2 linked regions of the Drosophila melanogaster genome follow. The protein of the gene in region 1 interacts with the protein of each later gene in a pairwise test. Each region holds a gene or a part of one and is shown in the gene's direction. Other genes may lie near its edges.

Evidence for each region.
Region 2: the proteins of CG34404 (region 1) and CG14818 interact in a two-hybrid assay, tested with the Drosophila melanogaster proteins (2 studies listed by BioGRID).

What each region holds. Positions count from the first base shown.
Region 1 is NT_033777.3:15,362,631-15,370,800, reverse strand, and holds CG34404 (uncharacterized protein), read left to right. Parts: upstream 1-3,135; 5' UTR 3,136-3,366; coding exon 3,367-3,654; intron 3,655-3,978; exon of another isoform or gene 3,979-4,002; coding exon of another isoform or gene 4,003-4,137; exon of another isoform or gene 4,138-4,204; coding exon 4,205-4,454; intron 4,455-4,511; coding exon 4,512-4,841; intron 4,842-4,896; coding exon 4,897-5,030; intron 5,031-5,092; coding exon 5,093-5,394; intron 5,395-5,455; coding exon 5,456-6,166; intron 6,167-6,224; coding exon 6,225-6,357; 3' UTR 6,358-6,868; downstream 6,869-8,170. Other genes in the region: CG14868 (uncharacterized protein), read left to right, coding at 1,023-1,088, 1,151-1,735, 1,788-1,895, 1,954-2,041, 2,100-2,238, 2,295-2,865; CG6171 (uncharacterized protein), read left to right, coding at 7,033-7,424, 7,486-7,649, 7,704-7,915; Trax (translin associated factor X), read right to left, coding at 8,030-8,170.
Region 2 is NC_004354.4:1,878,519-1,883,743, reverse strand, and holds CG14818 (uncharacterized protein), read left to right. Parts: upstream 1-3,969; 5' UTR 3,970-4,088; intron 4,089-4,163; exon of another isoform or gene 4,164-4,185; 5' UTR 4,186-4,253; coding exon 4,254-4,332; intron 4,333-4,393; coding exon 4,394-4,605; 3' UTR 4,606-4,725; downstream 4,726-5,225. Other genes in the region: trr (trithorax-related), read left to right, coding at 1-327, 407-1,002, 1,059-1,188, 1,243-1,425, 1,496-1,588; Coa8 (cytochrome c oxidase assembly factor 8), read right to left, coding at 2,509-2,724, 2,798-3,061, 3,121-3,171; CG14805 (uncharacterized protein), read right to left, coding at 4,740-5,225.

The sequences.
Region 1 (8,170 bases):
TCACTTAAATAATGCAGAAAGGGTATTGCATAGAATAGAAGCATACAATGTAAAGCTAAATAATCATATGAGGAGATTGAAAGAACTGCTGGCCAACAATAGAAGATTGATTTCGGGGCTATCGTACAATGAGCACAGCATTAAATCTTTATTGGAAAACAAAGCTCAAGATAAACAAATAGAGTAAGCTAAAGAAGGAAATATGAACTCGGTTATAAACTAATATATTTTTAGGCGAAATTCAAGTAAAAGAAGGTGTCATCTTCGTAGGACTTGCAAGGCGACCAACATCAGAGAGGCATGTTGGACGCAATGCAAGTCTCACATGGAGCCTGAAGAGGAAGAGCAAACCCAAGACGTGGTGGAGATCCAAACGAAAACACAAACATCTAGAAGCCGTTCCGGAAAAGTATGTGAACGGCAGAAAGGTGGTAGGGAGCTGAGTTCATATTACGAGCTAAGTGAGGAGATTGGTTTCAAAGGTAGGTTTTTATCAATTTCTGAGATCTCTTTCTTGAAATCCAAGTATATCCCAAGTGAAATGCATGCTAAAGCTTGTCGAAAAGATGGATTTCAAAACGGCCACAATTGCCGAAGTGAAAACCATTCGCAGAAGGGTGTTAAGTGCAATATCAAGTCGCCAAAAAAACCTGCAGTGAGCCAGAAGGAGTTTGGTCGCATCTGATATGTATGTCGAAAAATCCGTATTCCTACAAATAGGCAAATTGAATGAAATAAATTGAAAACTCTTTTCAAAATAATGACATTAGCTGTTTAATGATATTTACATATGAGGACAAGAACATTAATTTCAAATTAGGCTTATCGATATGAATCGAATTTCATGCGCAGGCGCATCTAAAATTGATTCACTCTAGCTGTGTGTTTTGGAACAGAATGGGGTCCTTGGAGCCCGAGAAAGTGTGATACAGCTGGCTCCTCCGGACAGCCCTCAGTTTACAATCACTGTCAATGTCAACATCTCGAGCTCGGCAAACGGAAAACCCACTCAAGCATTCGGCATGGACTTGGACGATGTGGCTAGTCATCACGGATTCGGTCAACATATGGCCACGTACAATGTAGAGGTGAGTCCGCCCCCACCCTTCGAGCGAACCAAGTGCGTTGTATGACCGACCCACCCTTACAGACCTCGGCGGTGCACAGGAAACTTCAAAGCAAGGTGGAGGCACTTCGAATCCTGCGCCAGGAGCTGGAACAGTTTCGCGTGGAGCGAGACCAGTACAAGCTGGTGGCGGAGACCCTGCAGCTGCGCTACTCCGCGCTGAAGAGTAATAGCGAACTTCTGGCTGTCGGTGGATGTGGAGCCCTCAGCGAGAACTCCAGCCTGGCAGCCCTGCTCCACGAGACGCGCGAGCAGAACCTAAAGCTCAGCACCGAAGTGGAAGCCCTGAGGCAGCGGCTCAACGAGCTGCATGGCGACATGGAACTACTCCGGGAGACGGAGGCCAGCAACAAGTCGCGGGTACAGGCAATGGCCAGCGAGAATGCCGCTCGCAACAAGGAGGAGCTGCAGTGGCGTCGTGAGCGGGCAAACTTTATCTGCCACCTGGAGGGCCTCAAAAAAAGGAATGCCCAGCTGGCCTTCGACCTGAAGGCGGTGATCGATGAGAAGGAGGAGCTGATAACCGAGCGGGATGCCTACAAGTGCAAGGCACACCGCCTAAATCATGAACTCTTTGTGGCCCTCAGGGCGAAGAAAACGCATCCAAGGGTGAGTTAACTGATGCTATATAGTACTTACTTGATAGTTATTGATTTTCCAGCTCCTGGACATCGATGGTGTTTTGCTGGAGAACAAGTACCTGCATGAACGTGTGAAGATCCAAGACAGCGAACTGGAGCTCACCAAACAGAGCATCAATAAGTACAAGGTACTGGTATTAGTTAAGACTTATTACCATTTTATTTATTTATATTTAAATCATTCAGACAATGTTGGATGCAAAACGAAAGAAGGGAATTGTAAAACTTGGCGGTGGGAGCACAAATGAGGACACCATTCTAAGCCCCCGGCAAGGTGAGTAATTATATGGTGGCCACCTCTTTCATGCCTTTCTAATTTGTTTGTACCCTAGTGAAAACAATCCTCGAGAGTGGCATTGAGCTGCCTCAGAAAACCGAGAGCTTAAGCGATCTAAAATCCTTGTGTCTGGCCCTGCTGGACAATCTCAACGACAAGAACTTGGCCCTGACGCACCAAAAGAAGACCAACAAGTAGGAAAATCCAGCTGAAAGTTGATATATATTTCATAAACCCATATTTCCTGCAGAATACTGGCTGGCAAAATGACGGAGCTGGAGCAGCGGTGGCAACAACTCCTCTCCGGAAACGATGACAACGCAGAGGAGCAGGAGGAGGACGTGGAATATGGTTATGCGCCTTCGCAGCTGCTCCTCAATGGCTATTGTGCCGCCATGGTAGATGACGCCGACATCAGCAGCACTCCGTCCATTGAGCCAGATAACGAAGGCGTCGCCATTACAGCGGATCATGAAGATTCAAAGAAGCACAAGTCCGTTGAGGCTCTGCATTCCGACGATGGAATGTCCTCGCTTTCAACGGAGTCCGTGGATTCGTCTGTGTACGGTGCAGATGTGCAGCCCGATGACTTCCAAAAGTCTTCATCCGCCACAACAGATTCGGGCAACTGTGGATTGAGCAGCCGCTGCAACGGCACGCCACGAATATCCAGTGCAGTGGCACGGGAACGTATGGAGGATCTGAAGGACCTGCCGCCTCACCTGGCCACTCTGGTCCAGAAAGCACTTCACGATCTGGACATGCGGGACTACGAGGCTATGGTGACGATACGAGCAGAGAATCTGGCGGCTATTCCTTAGAGAAAAACTAGTTCAATTGAGGACTCCCAAAGAAATGGATGAAACCATATCTCAGTGTTGACAAAAGATATAATACATATATATATTACCGCAACAGCGTACAATAAAACCAGATTATATAAAATAAATCACTTTATTCAATCGATATTGCGTTGAAACTGGATATGTACAATAACTATAGCATACAGTTTTAAAAGACGCGCCCAAGTTATCGATAAATAATATGCGGAGTGTTGCATACCGTTAGCATAAACACACTCTCACACACTCTTATTTCTGGGTATACATTTTCTGATAAGAATGCAATAAATATCCCGACTGGTTGGAGTAATTTCGAGTTTTTGAATTAAAAATGCCTTAAGAAAAGTTTTTAATGAGCCATGTAGAGTTAACACCAGTGCCACATATCCTGGGAATGGAGCACCAATCAAAAGTCATCATCAAGCGGCCCAAATCAGGCCAATTCTAGTCGGAAAGTCGTTGCAGCCGCCCATTGCCACCATGTCGAATGATGTGCAGGTCGCCCGGGTGGCCAAGATAGCTACCGATGTGCCGCGTCGCAGTGGCAAGCAGCGTGACTCCAGCGGATTCCAGGGCAAGCACTCCGGCAGCGCGGCTGGCGAGGATTTCGAGTACGTCTTCGGTAGCATTTCGCCGCGCGGTGGAGGACCCGGTGGCAGGCACTTGGTGGGATCCTCCGACCTGGACTCTCCGGAGCACACGCAGCGGGACACCACCGAGAGTGACAACAACATATCCAGCTGCTCCACGCTAGACATTGTCAACAAAGTGAGTAATGATGCCCGCACTGAGAGAAATAACTAGATCTTAAATCAAAAAAATCAATATATTAATTTGCAATGATACATTGGTACTAAACATGATCAAGTTCATTTTAAATTAATTTTTAAAATGATCACAAAATATTTAAAAATACCTCATTATTGTGTAGTTTAAAATAAGAAACGCAGAATTTTCAATCATTGGTTTTCAAAGTGTTTCGGGCTTTAAATTCGGTTGGCGTCCAGTGCGCAGATGCGTGTGGAAGGCTGAGGGTCAAGTTGCAGCGGCGGAGAGCGCGGATGCATCCGCGGTCGGATGACGACGTAATCGCCAGTCAAAATTTTCCACTGGACCATGATTTCGGAGCAACTGCTTCCGCGCAGCTTGAGCTGCCTGTGCTGCAGCGATACGCCATCGGTGCCCAACGACAAGAGACGCAGTTGGGAGTATACGCTGATGGCTCATCCTCTGGCCAGACGGCCCATAAACGTGATGACCCCAAGAATAACCACTTAGAAAGCTCTAATCCGCCTCTTTTCTTTTGATTCACCTCCAGGTTGAGCAACTGTCGGTACAACAGCTAGAAAACCGGGTGCGGGATCTAACGCAGCGTCTGCAGCAGGCGGAAAGACAGCTCACTGAGAGCAACACAGAGCGGGAAATATGCCACAAGCGCTTGGAGGTTGTCAGCCAGGCCCACGAGTGTCGCATCACAGAGATGCACTGTGTCATCGCCGAGTTAAGCAAGAAATTGCGCAGTAAGCAGGACCACGTTATCATGGAGGAGCAGGAGCCCGACGGCAGCGGTGCGTAGCAGTTTCAAATGAGGGAAACAAACCCCTAACCGACAGTCTTGTTTTCAGAACTCAGCTTTCAGGAGGGTTCAGTGTACAATTCCGAGCTTAACCTCACCAATCCTGATGCCGAATGTCAAACAGAACCACTGGAAGACTTCGAGGGCGCCTGCAGTACCACCAGCGTGGGTAACGTTGCCCACAAACCGCCGGAACTGAGCCATAAGGGACAAGTGGAGGCACTGCAGGAGGAAGTTCTGCACTTGAGAGCTCGAATCGCCCTCCTCCAGTCCGAGATTTCCACCAAGGATGCTGCTGTGGTCGAGGAACAGACCAAAGTCGCCTTCGACTGCGAATCGGAAGTCAACGAGTGCGGACAGCGACTGAATGATTTGAATGGTAATATAAATAATCCTGATGATAAAAGAATGGTTACACATTTAGATGCTTTCAGTTTGCACTTCCTTGACAAGTCCGCAAAAACGCATTCCAGCGGTACCGAAAATGGCTGAACGGGTTAAGTTGCGGTGCGCCAGCAAACATGAATCCGGAGAAGATCCATCCCAAGATACTTCATTGAGCAACGAGGTGTGTTGACCAAAACTTTATTCAGAGAATACATTTCAACCCATACAACCCATAATTTTAAGCAAATTAATCTGGTCGAACATTTGGTGTCGGAGCTAAAGGAGCAAAATCTATATATGGAGAACTTTATGGAGCCCCTACATTTGAGCAAAGACTTGGAGCGACTGCAACGACGTGTTGAACAATTGGAGATGCGAAACACCATGCTGGCACTGACGCTAGACGAATGCAAGGAGCACACTGAGCATCTGTATCTGCTATGCGGAAAGTACGAGTCCAATGCGGTTGCTCTTCAGTTGGCGCTTAATTGCAGTGATCGCGCCATCGAGGCCTACGACGTAATGTTGGCTCTGCTCGAAAGCAAGTAAGTACAATCACCATAAGACGCGGGTTGTTGTCCCTATTTCACAATTCATCACTTCCAGGTTGGCACTGCTGGGGGAGAAATCAGTGGCAGCGGAAGAGAGTCGACGATCGGTGGAGGCGGTGGCCAGGCACCTGCTAGCCCGTTTGGATAGCGAGAAAAACGTTTGTGAGAACAGCCTGGGACCGTGGCAACACAACATCAACCTGGGCCCAGAGGATGCCCCAAAAACTGGCCGCCCGTGGTGTGCCGACGACGACAACCGCCTGCGTTACCACGTCTCCAAGCTGAAGGGACGTCGTTCCAATGTCCAGCATACCATTGTCAGTTTGGAATCACCCTTCAGCGACATATACGAAAGAAAGCGCCTGGCTTTGGAAAAGGAGCACGAACTTCGGAGCGCGGACAAGAAGTCACCCATTGACTTGGAGACAGCAGTGATTATGCAAGAAATACTCGAGCTGCGGGATTCGAATTTGCAGCTGAAGACAAAAATGGAAGAGGCCGAGCAGGAACGGCAGAACGCCAACGAACGAGTGGGCATACTCCACGAAGCCCTAAAGCAGCTACAGGCAAACAACCGGGTCTCGTATTCGGAGGCGGAGCATGCGGCTCTCACAGAGCAGCAGTTGGTGGAGGCCTTAACTCGAGAAACGGAGCTCAAGGGTCGCATACAGACGCTATTGGCAAATGTAACAGCTTCGCAGAAGGCCTTCGACGAAAAATACGAGCAACTGCATCAGAACGTGCGTGAACTGCAGAAATCCAACCAGTAAGATTCGTTTTATTTTGACTGTTTCATACATAATTTCTTCATATTTCCCTTTTAGCAATCTGGGCCAAATGTTAGATCACACCAAGCGCAAGTACCAGCTGCGGGTGAGGAAGCTAGAGCAGAAGATTGTTGACCTGCGGCTGGACTACGAGCAAGGCCATAACCATGTTCCTGAGACTACTCTGTAGGAAACGCATGACGACCTTCCAGGAGGACTGAGCAACTGGGCGTGGAGCGGGCGCGCTTGTCACATATCCCGCAAAAGATCTTTCCCTCTCGATCATATCGCTTATTTTACCTTTAATGCAATGACCACCCGCCCAGCAGTCGCCGTGGATCCGCCATGACCAAGACAGTATCACGAATGTGCCATGCGACTTAATTGCAGTCGGCTGGGGCTTGGGCGGTGTCCCTGCCTCGCAGATAAGGCTGCAGTAACTACATACTCAAATACATACATATTCAGAGGTGCCATGAGCAAGGCTCCACCAACCTATCCATAGATCCGTGGGATTGGAGCATCCGTCTATGGGCCACAAGCAATTACATATACACACATACGAATAGACAAACTAAGGAGTTATTCAAGACGCATACACGGGATCCTATATTTATACAATGTATTCGCATTTTGCTTGTTATATGATTCAATATGTATTTAAAACTGTACAAAATATAAAACGTCTACTAAAACTCGATAAAATTCACGAATTTGAAATTGGCTCCAATAATTAATCGATAAGCTAATGAAACTAACTTAAGCATCCATCACCATTTCGTGTAGTGTTGCAAATCACCAGAATCAAGTATATGAGTACTTGTGAAATAAAAATGTTTTGAAAATTTAACTTAATTTACTTAAAATGAGTGCCACAGATGCATCTACAGCCGATAGTGGCGCTAAACGAAAATCTTCTGAAGATATCACACACAATTGCAACGCAAATTTTGGCGCAGAAAACGGCCTAAGAAAGCGCGTAAAATCGGAGGAGCCTGTGGCGTCCATTAAAGATGAAACAAATCCTGAAGTTCCTATGAAAATAAAAGCTGAGCCAGTGGAGAATGCAGATGAGCCCACAAGCACTACTCCTGCGATCAAGATTAAAGCCGAACCAGCGGACAATGGAAACTCACCTGCAGCTGCGATGGTAAAAACCGAGCCCACTAATAGCAATGCACAGGACGCCGCCGACGAGTCTACCGTATCTTCAAGCAGTATTAGGACTTCTTGTCGCTTCGGCATACGATGCTACAGGTGATTCACACTAACCAACTCCCATATTACCAACTAAAAATATACCTTTTTCCAATGACAGGCGAAATCCAGCTCATCGTAGTGCAGAAGCTCATCCGGGGGATCAGGATTACCGGCGACCAAACTTTCCAGCGCCACCCCTCGGAACTCCAGCTTGTCCTTTCGGTAACGCATGCTATCGCCGTAACCCAGTTCACTTCCAGGATTACTCCCATCCTGCGGATTGTAAGTAGAAGGCTTGGCATACTTCGGCTTCAAATTGGCTAAAGCCCATTGTAGTCAATTCCGCGCAGAACATTCGAAATCGTCTGCGTCAACGGCGAGCCCAACGGCAGAACGACGATGACTCGGGGACGGATGAGGAGGATGAACCCTTTGGTGGCGACAATGACAGGGATGCGGACTACCGTCCAGGCGCAGACATAAACGAAGATGAGGATGATGAGCTGGAGTTTGATAGCCAACCAATAAGTGGGGATGACTATGATTAGACTATAAATTCAAATTCGCTGTTAACTTAGATGATACGTTCCATTTGCCGAATAATAGGCTTTATATATATATATTATATTCTGTTGATGAAAACTTATGTCTATGGAGTTCCATTAGTAGAAGCCCTCGTCAACTTCATCGGCTGGCTTTTGATCAAAAGTGGCGCCCCATTTTGCAGCCTCTCCGCCGCGAACTTTTACATTGTAGCAAACATTCTCGGCCTTAAGAACGCTCTGCTTCATGGTAGTGATCTT
Region 2 (5,225 bases), on another chromosome or scaffold:
GTCTTTTACAAGAACAAGTCCGTGCACTGCAGCGTTCATGGTCATGCTCATGCCGGCATCACGATGGGTGCAGGAGCAGGCGCCACGACTGGCGCCGGATTAGGAGGCTCTGTGGCAGATAATGAACTGAGCTCCCTGGTTGTCCACCGGAGAGTTTTTGTCGATCGGGATGAAAACCGTCAGGTGGCCACCGTCATGCACTATTCAGAGCTAAGCAACCTGCTCCGTGTGGGCAACATGACGTTCCTGAACGTGGGTCAGTTACTGCCGCATCAGCTGGAGGCCTTCCACACACCCCACTACATCTACCCCATTGGCTACAAGGTGGTAAGTACAAGTACCAGCCGGTCGGCCGCCATGTTTATGAACAGCAATCTTAAATCCCGTTCCTCTTCCTCCCCCATAGAGTCGCTACTACTGGTGCGTGCGACGACCCAATCGTAGGTGTCGATACATTTGCAGTATCGCAGAGGCCGGATGCAAGCCCGAGTTTCGCATCCAGGTGCAGGACGCCGGCGACAAGGAGCCGGAGCGCGAGTTTCGGGGCAGTTCGCCCTCGGCGGTCTGGCAGCAGATTCTGCAGCCAATCACGCGACTGCGTAAGGTGCACAAGTGGTTGCAGCTCTTTCCCCAGCACATCAGTGGTGAGGACCTATTTGGCCTAACGGAACCGGCCATTGTGCGAATCCTGGAAAGCCTCCCGGGCATTGAGACGCTCACTGACTACCGCTTCAAGTACGGTCGCAACCCGCTTCTTGAGTTCCCGCTAGCCATCAATCCGTCTGGAGCGGCGCGTACGGAACCCAAGCAACGACAGCTGCTCGTCTGGAGGAAGCCGCATACGCAACGCACGGCCGGCAGCTGCAGCACGCAGCGGATGGCCAACTCGGCTGCGATTGCCGGAGAAGTGGCCTGCCCGTACAGCAAGCAGTTCGTGCATTCGAAGAGCTCCCAGTACAAAAAGATGAAGCAGGAGTGGCGCAACAACGTCTACTTGGCGAGGTGAGACATTAGGTCCTAGTCAATAACCACTGATTACTTAAGCTCTCATTTTCTAGATCTAAGATCCAGGGTCTTGGCTTGTATGCAGCTCGGGACATTGAAAAGCACACCATGATAATCGAGTACATTGGCGAGGTTATCCGCACCGAGGTCTCCGAGATACGCGAGAAGCAGTACGAGTCCAAGGTGGGTTTCGCGACCATGTTTTCTTGTAACTTTGACTAATCTCTGATTCCCCAGAACCGTGGCATCTACATGTTCCGGCTGGATGAAGACCGCGTGGTGGACGCCACTCTAAGCGGCGGGTTGGCGCGCTACATCAACCATTCGTGCAATCCCAACTGTGTTACCGAGATAGTGGAGGTCGATCGCGACGTGCGGATCATAATATTCGCCAAGCGGAAGATCTATCGCGGCGAGGAGGTGGGTCCCGCAAATAGAAGTGTTTCGCCTGTACCTTAACTCACAATATCTCTTAAATTCTGTGCTTTAGCTCTCGTACGACTACAAGTTCGACATTGAGGACGAGTCGCACAAGATACCGTGCGCCTGTGGAGCGCCCAACTGTCGCAAGTGGATGAACTAGAGTCGGGAGGAGCCTCTAGCGGAGGACCAAAGGAAGCGCAAGAAGCGGCGGCGAGCACGTCGCTCCCAGTGAACAGGAACAGGAGTAGAGACAGGAACAGGAACAGGACTTGTATCTGATCAAGTAGCTAGATTCGCTAAGCATTATAGTTCGTGTACATTTATATATATATATATATATATATATATATATTTATATATATATAGTTTATATGCTATATGCAGATATGCTCGTGGAGAGCATATGACCTTGTAAGTTTTGTATATGTGCCCACTGTAGCCAATTCGTATCCTTTATATCGCTCTTAAGTGCAAAAGTGGAGAGTGTCTTCATAGTTTAAATTGAATAATTGCTATCGTTTCTACATAGAAAGAATATAAATGTTACTGCTAGGACACGACCACCCCTGTAATGTATTTCGGACCCCCTCTCCTCACACAGTCGCTGGAGCACCTAATTTTATTTGTTTTAGCACCATCTCCACATTCATCACTACCACCATTGCAATTATCGCGAGGAAACTGACCGCCCCGATGGCCAACCCAAAACTTGACTTTATGCGTGTGTGCCTTCCCCTCTGTTTACCATTATTATTATTATCATAATTGTAGCGGTTATCTTTCAATATTCGGCCACTTTACATGGGGAGCGATCCTTCTTTCGCTGCGTGTATCGTGCGCAACCTTCTTTGAATATATACACTGATAAGGATATGAACACCTACTTCTATTTTATTTTATTTAAATAGTTTGCGATTACTTTTAAGTACATTAACTAACTCCGAACAACGTGTATTTTTCATCCCCTTAAATAGTAGCTAAGTAAATTTTATGCCACCATTTTACGCACGTGATCTTTTATTCCAACTTATTGCAAACGGCAAACTGGAAATTACGAAATGGGGACGACAGATATTGCACCTAAGATCTTCGCTTGGCCAGCGCCAGAAGCCTCTGGAGCTGGACTGCGGCAGCCAGGGTGAGTATGTCGAAGTTCTTCAGGTACCAGGAGATGTTGTACATGATGTGGATGCGCCAGTTCTTGTCGAGGAACGCTTTGTAGAAGTGGCTCATCTGGTCCGCGGACACTTCGCTGGTTCCGCTTTCCTTGTGCAGGCGGATGAAGTCTTCCTTTTCCTGTAAACGAACCAATTCGAAAGAGACGACATTAGCGGACTAGAAAGAGATGGCACAGTGGTCGTGGTTGTACCTCGTAGAAGCGCTTATTGTGTTTTGTCCAGAAGTCCGTGTTCCATGCCTCCACCTCGATCCGCTTAAGACGCAGGCTTCTTGCCAGCCGCGTCTCCTCATCGCCGTAGTGCCGTACGTACGGACGTAGGTTTGATTGCGCGTCTGGCGGTCCTATATAGTCGCACTTCACCGTCTTGGGATCGGGCTTGTGTGGCAAACCGACGACGGGTTTTTCTTGTGGCGGTGGACATCCCGGCTGCACTGCGGCATAGCACCGCGGTAGCTGTGTAAACAAGAAATTGAAAATCCGAATCCTATAAGGCAACACACTCATGGACTCACGCTGAACTGGAAAAGCGATATCCGGGGCTGGCACCTAAAACATTTGTTCATTTTTCGGTTATGTTATGTGAGGTGCAGTGTGGCCGACTGTCACGCTAGGCAACAGATTAAATATTGATGCCAGCAAATATTACGGGCATTCGCATGCGATTCTCGACTGAATATCTGGAGTTCAGAAACCAGTAGCCAGTAGCCAGCCAGCTGATACATGTCGACAAAATCAAGAAACAGTTTCTTTTTCCAAAATGGTCGCATATTGCATGTTTCCAGTCGCAATTGAACCAATAGGAATGCAGCCTTGTGAACAGTTAGACCAAAGCTTAAGCAAGAGTATCAGAAGAGATGTGAACCCCTCTTGTTTCCCTGTTCGTGACACGCAATCGGCACGTCATGCTCGAGCAAATACCAAAATCCCTAGTAATTTGCTTGCGTTGTGAAAATAAAACGATATACATGCACATCTCTAAAAACAACGTAGAAACAGAGGCTAGTACACTTTCTGTTTATTATGCTCGCCTCATGATTGCAACAAGAAATCTACTGTCGCAATTCGATGCTTCAAAATTATTTCGGTCAAAATGGGCAAGATTATCGACTGTAGACACCAGGCGAACAGAAAACGTTGGAGTACGACCGCTGATCGCTCTGAGAAATTAAACAGCCGTTCATTGTCAGAAGGGGTCAACTCTGGCCAATCAACATTAAGCACTATGGGAAAGAACCGTTCGATTAAGTCCAGTCAACGCCTAGAGATACGTAAACCATTTGTTTCATTGTTCGTGTCACGAATTAGGCACGACATATGCGAATAAGCCAAAATTTCCCATGCTATTCCATTGGTACGTAAAAATAAAACGAGGCACGGGCACATCCCTAAAAACTAAGTGGAAACTTAGCTTTGGACTTTTGCAGTGGATTATGTTCGCCTAGTGTTTTGAGCTAAAAAGTGTTTTCGTAATTACAAAAACGTACGTATGTACTGAATTCCCCTATTAAGTTTTTTTTTTTATATCGTATTTGAACTGAGACCTATCGTTCTCTTCTAACCACCTCTATCGTTTATAGCTATCCCGTGACAATAAATCCAACTGGAAAAAACAAACGGAAAAACTCCGGGGAAAATTCCAGGGAAAATGTCACCCAAAAACAATCATGATCCCTCGTCGTCCGGCGACTCTGGCAACACCAATGTCCAGGAGGCGGACCTCCAAGGTGAGTTTTGACAGCGCCCCGTTTCTGCTCGGGATTGGCTCTAATGGAATGACCCCTACAGAGATGGAGGACGTGAACAACAGTCTGGACGCTCTCAGCTGTGCCCTGGACGCCGTGGAGCAGCGCACAGACGACATTATGTCCCAACTACGGGAGCTGCTGAACTCCAACCGAGAGATCCGTCGCCTGATTGCCGAGGAAAATGACAACGCTCCCGAATCGGGAGATGACAACATGGACGGGCAGGCGGGCAGCGAAGCGGCACCCAAGTAGATCCCTCTACGAGAAGTTATTGTTTTGTTCATCCAAATCGTTTTTAGGCACAATCAGTGCTGTTTTTTTTCTATTATCATGTATTTTTGTCCTAAGTCCTAAGTAAACGTAATTGAAAGCAAGCTTAAGGTTCACTATGTCTTCCGCGCTTTCTTGCGCTTTGTCTTCTCTGTGATTTCAGCCTGGCCATTGGTATCGCTAGTAATATACTTGAAAGCTATCTGGAACAAGCGCATTGACTGCGCTTTGAGGCGCGCATTCTCGGCCTGCAGCTCTTGCACTCTTTCGTCGCTTGTCTGTGCTGAGTCTGGCTGATATTCTGCATACGATTTTTCGGACTCAGCTTCCTTGGAGGCGGTTTCCATTGGCTCGGATTCAGGTTCTTCTTCTTCGACCTCGGAATCCTCGACATCTGTAGCTTTGGTTTCCGCCTCAATTCCTTCGTCGTCCTCGTTCTTTCCCGAACTCATGGACGCTATAAGTTTGAGTATTATCTCCTCATCCGTACCCGGATGACTTTGGGTGTAGTCCAGCTCCGGTGTCTTGCGTCCCCCGGAGTAGTCCGGATCGAAGAGCTCGATACAGTCATTCTCATCCCACGGACTAATCATTCGCTTTAG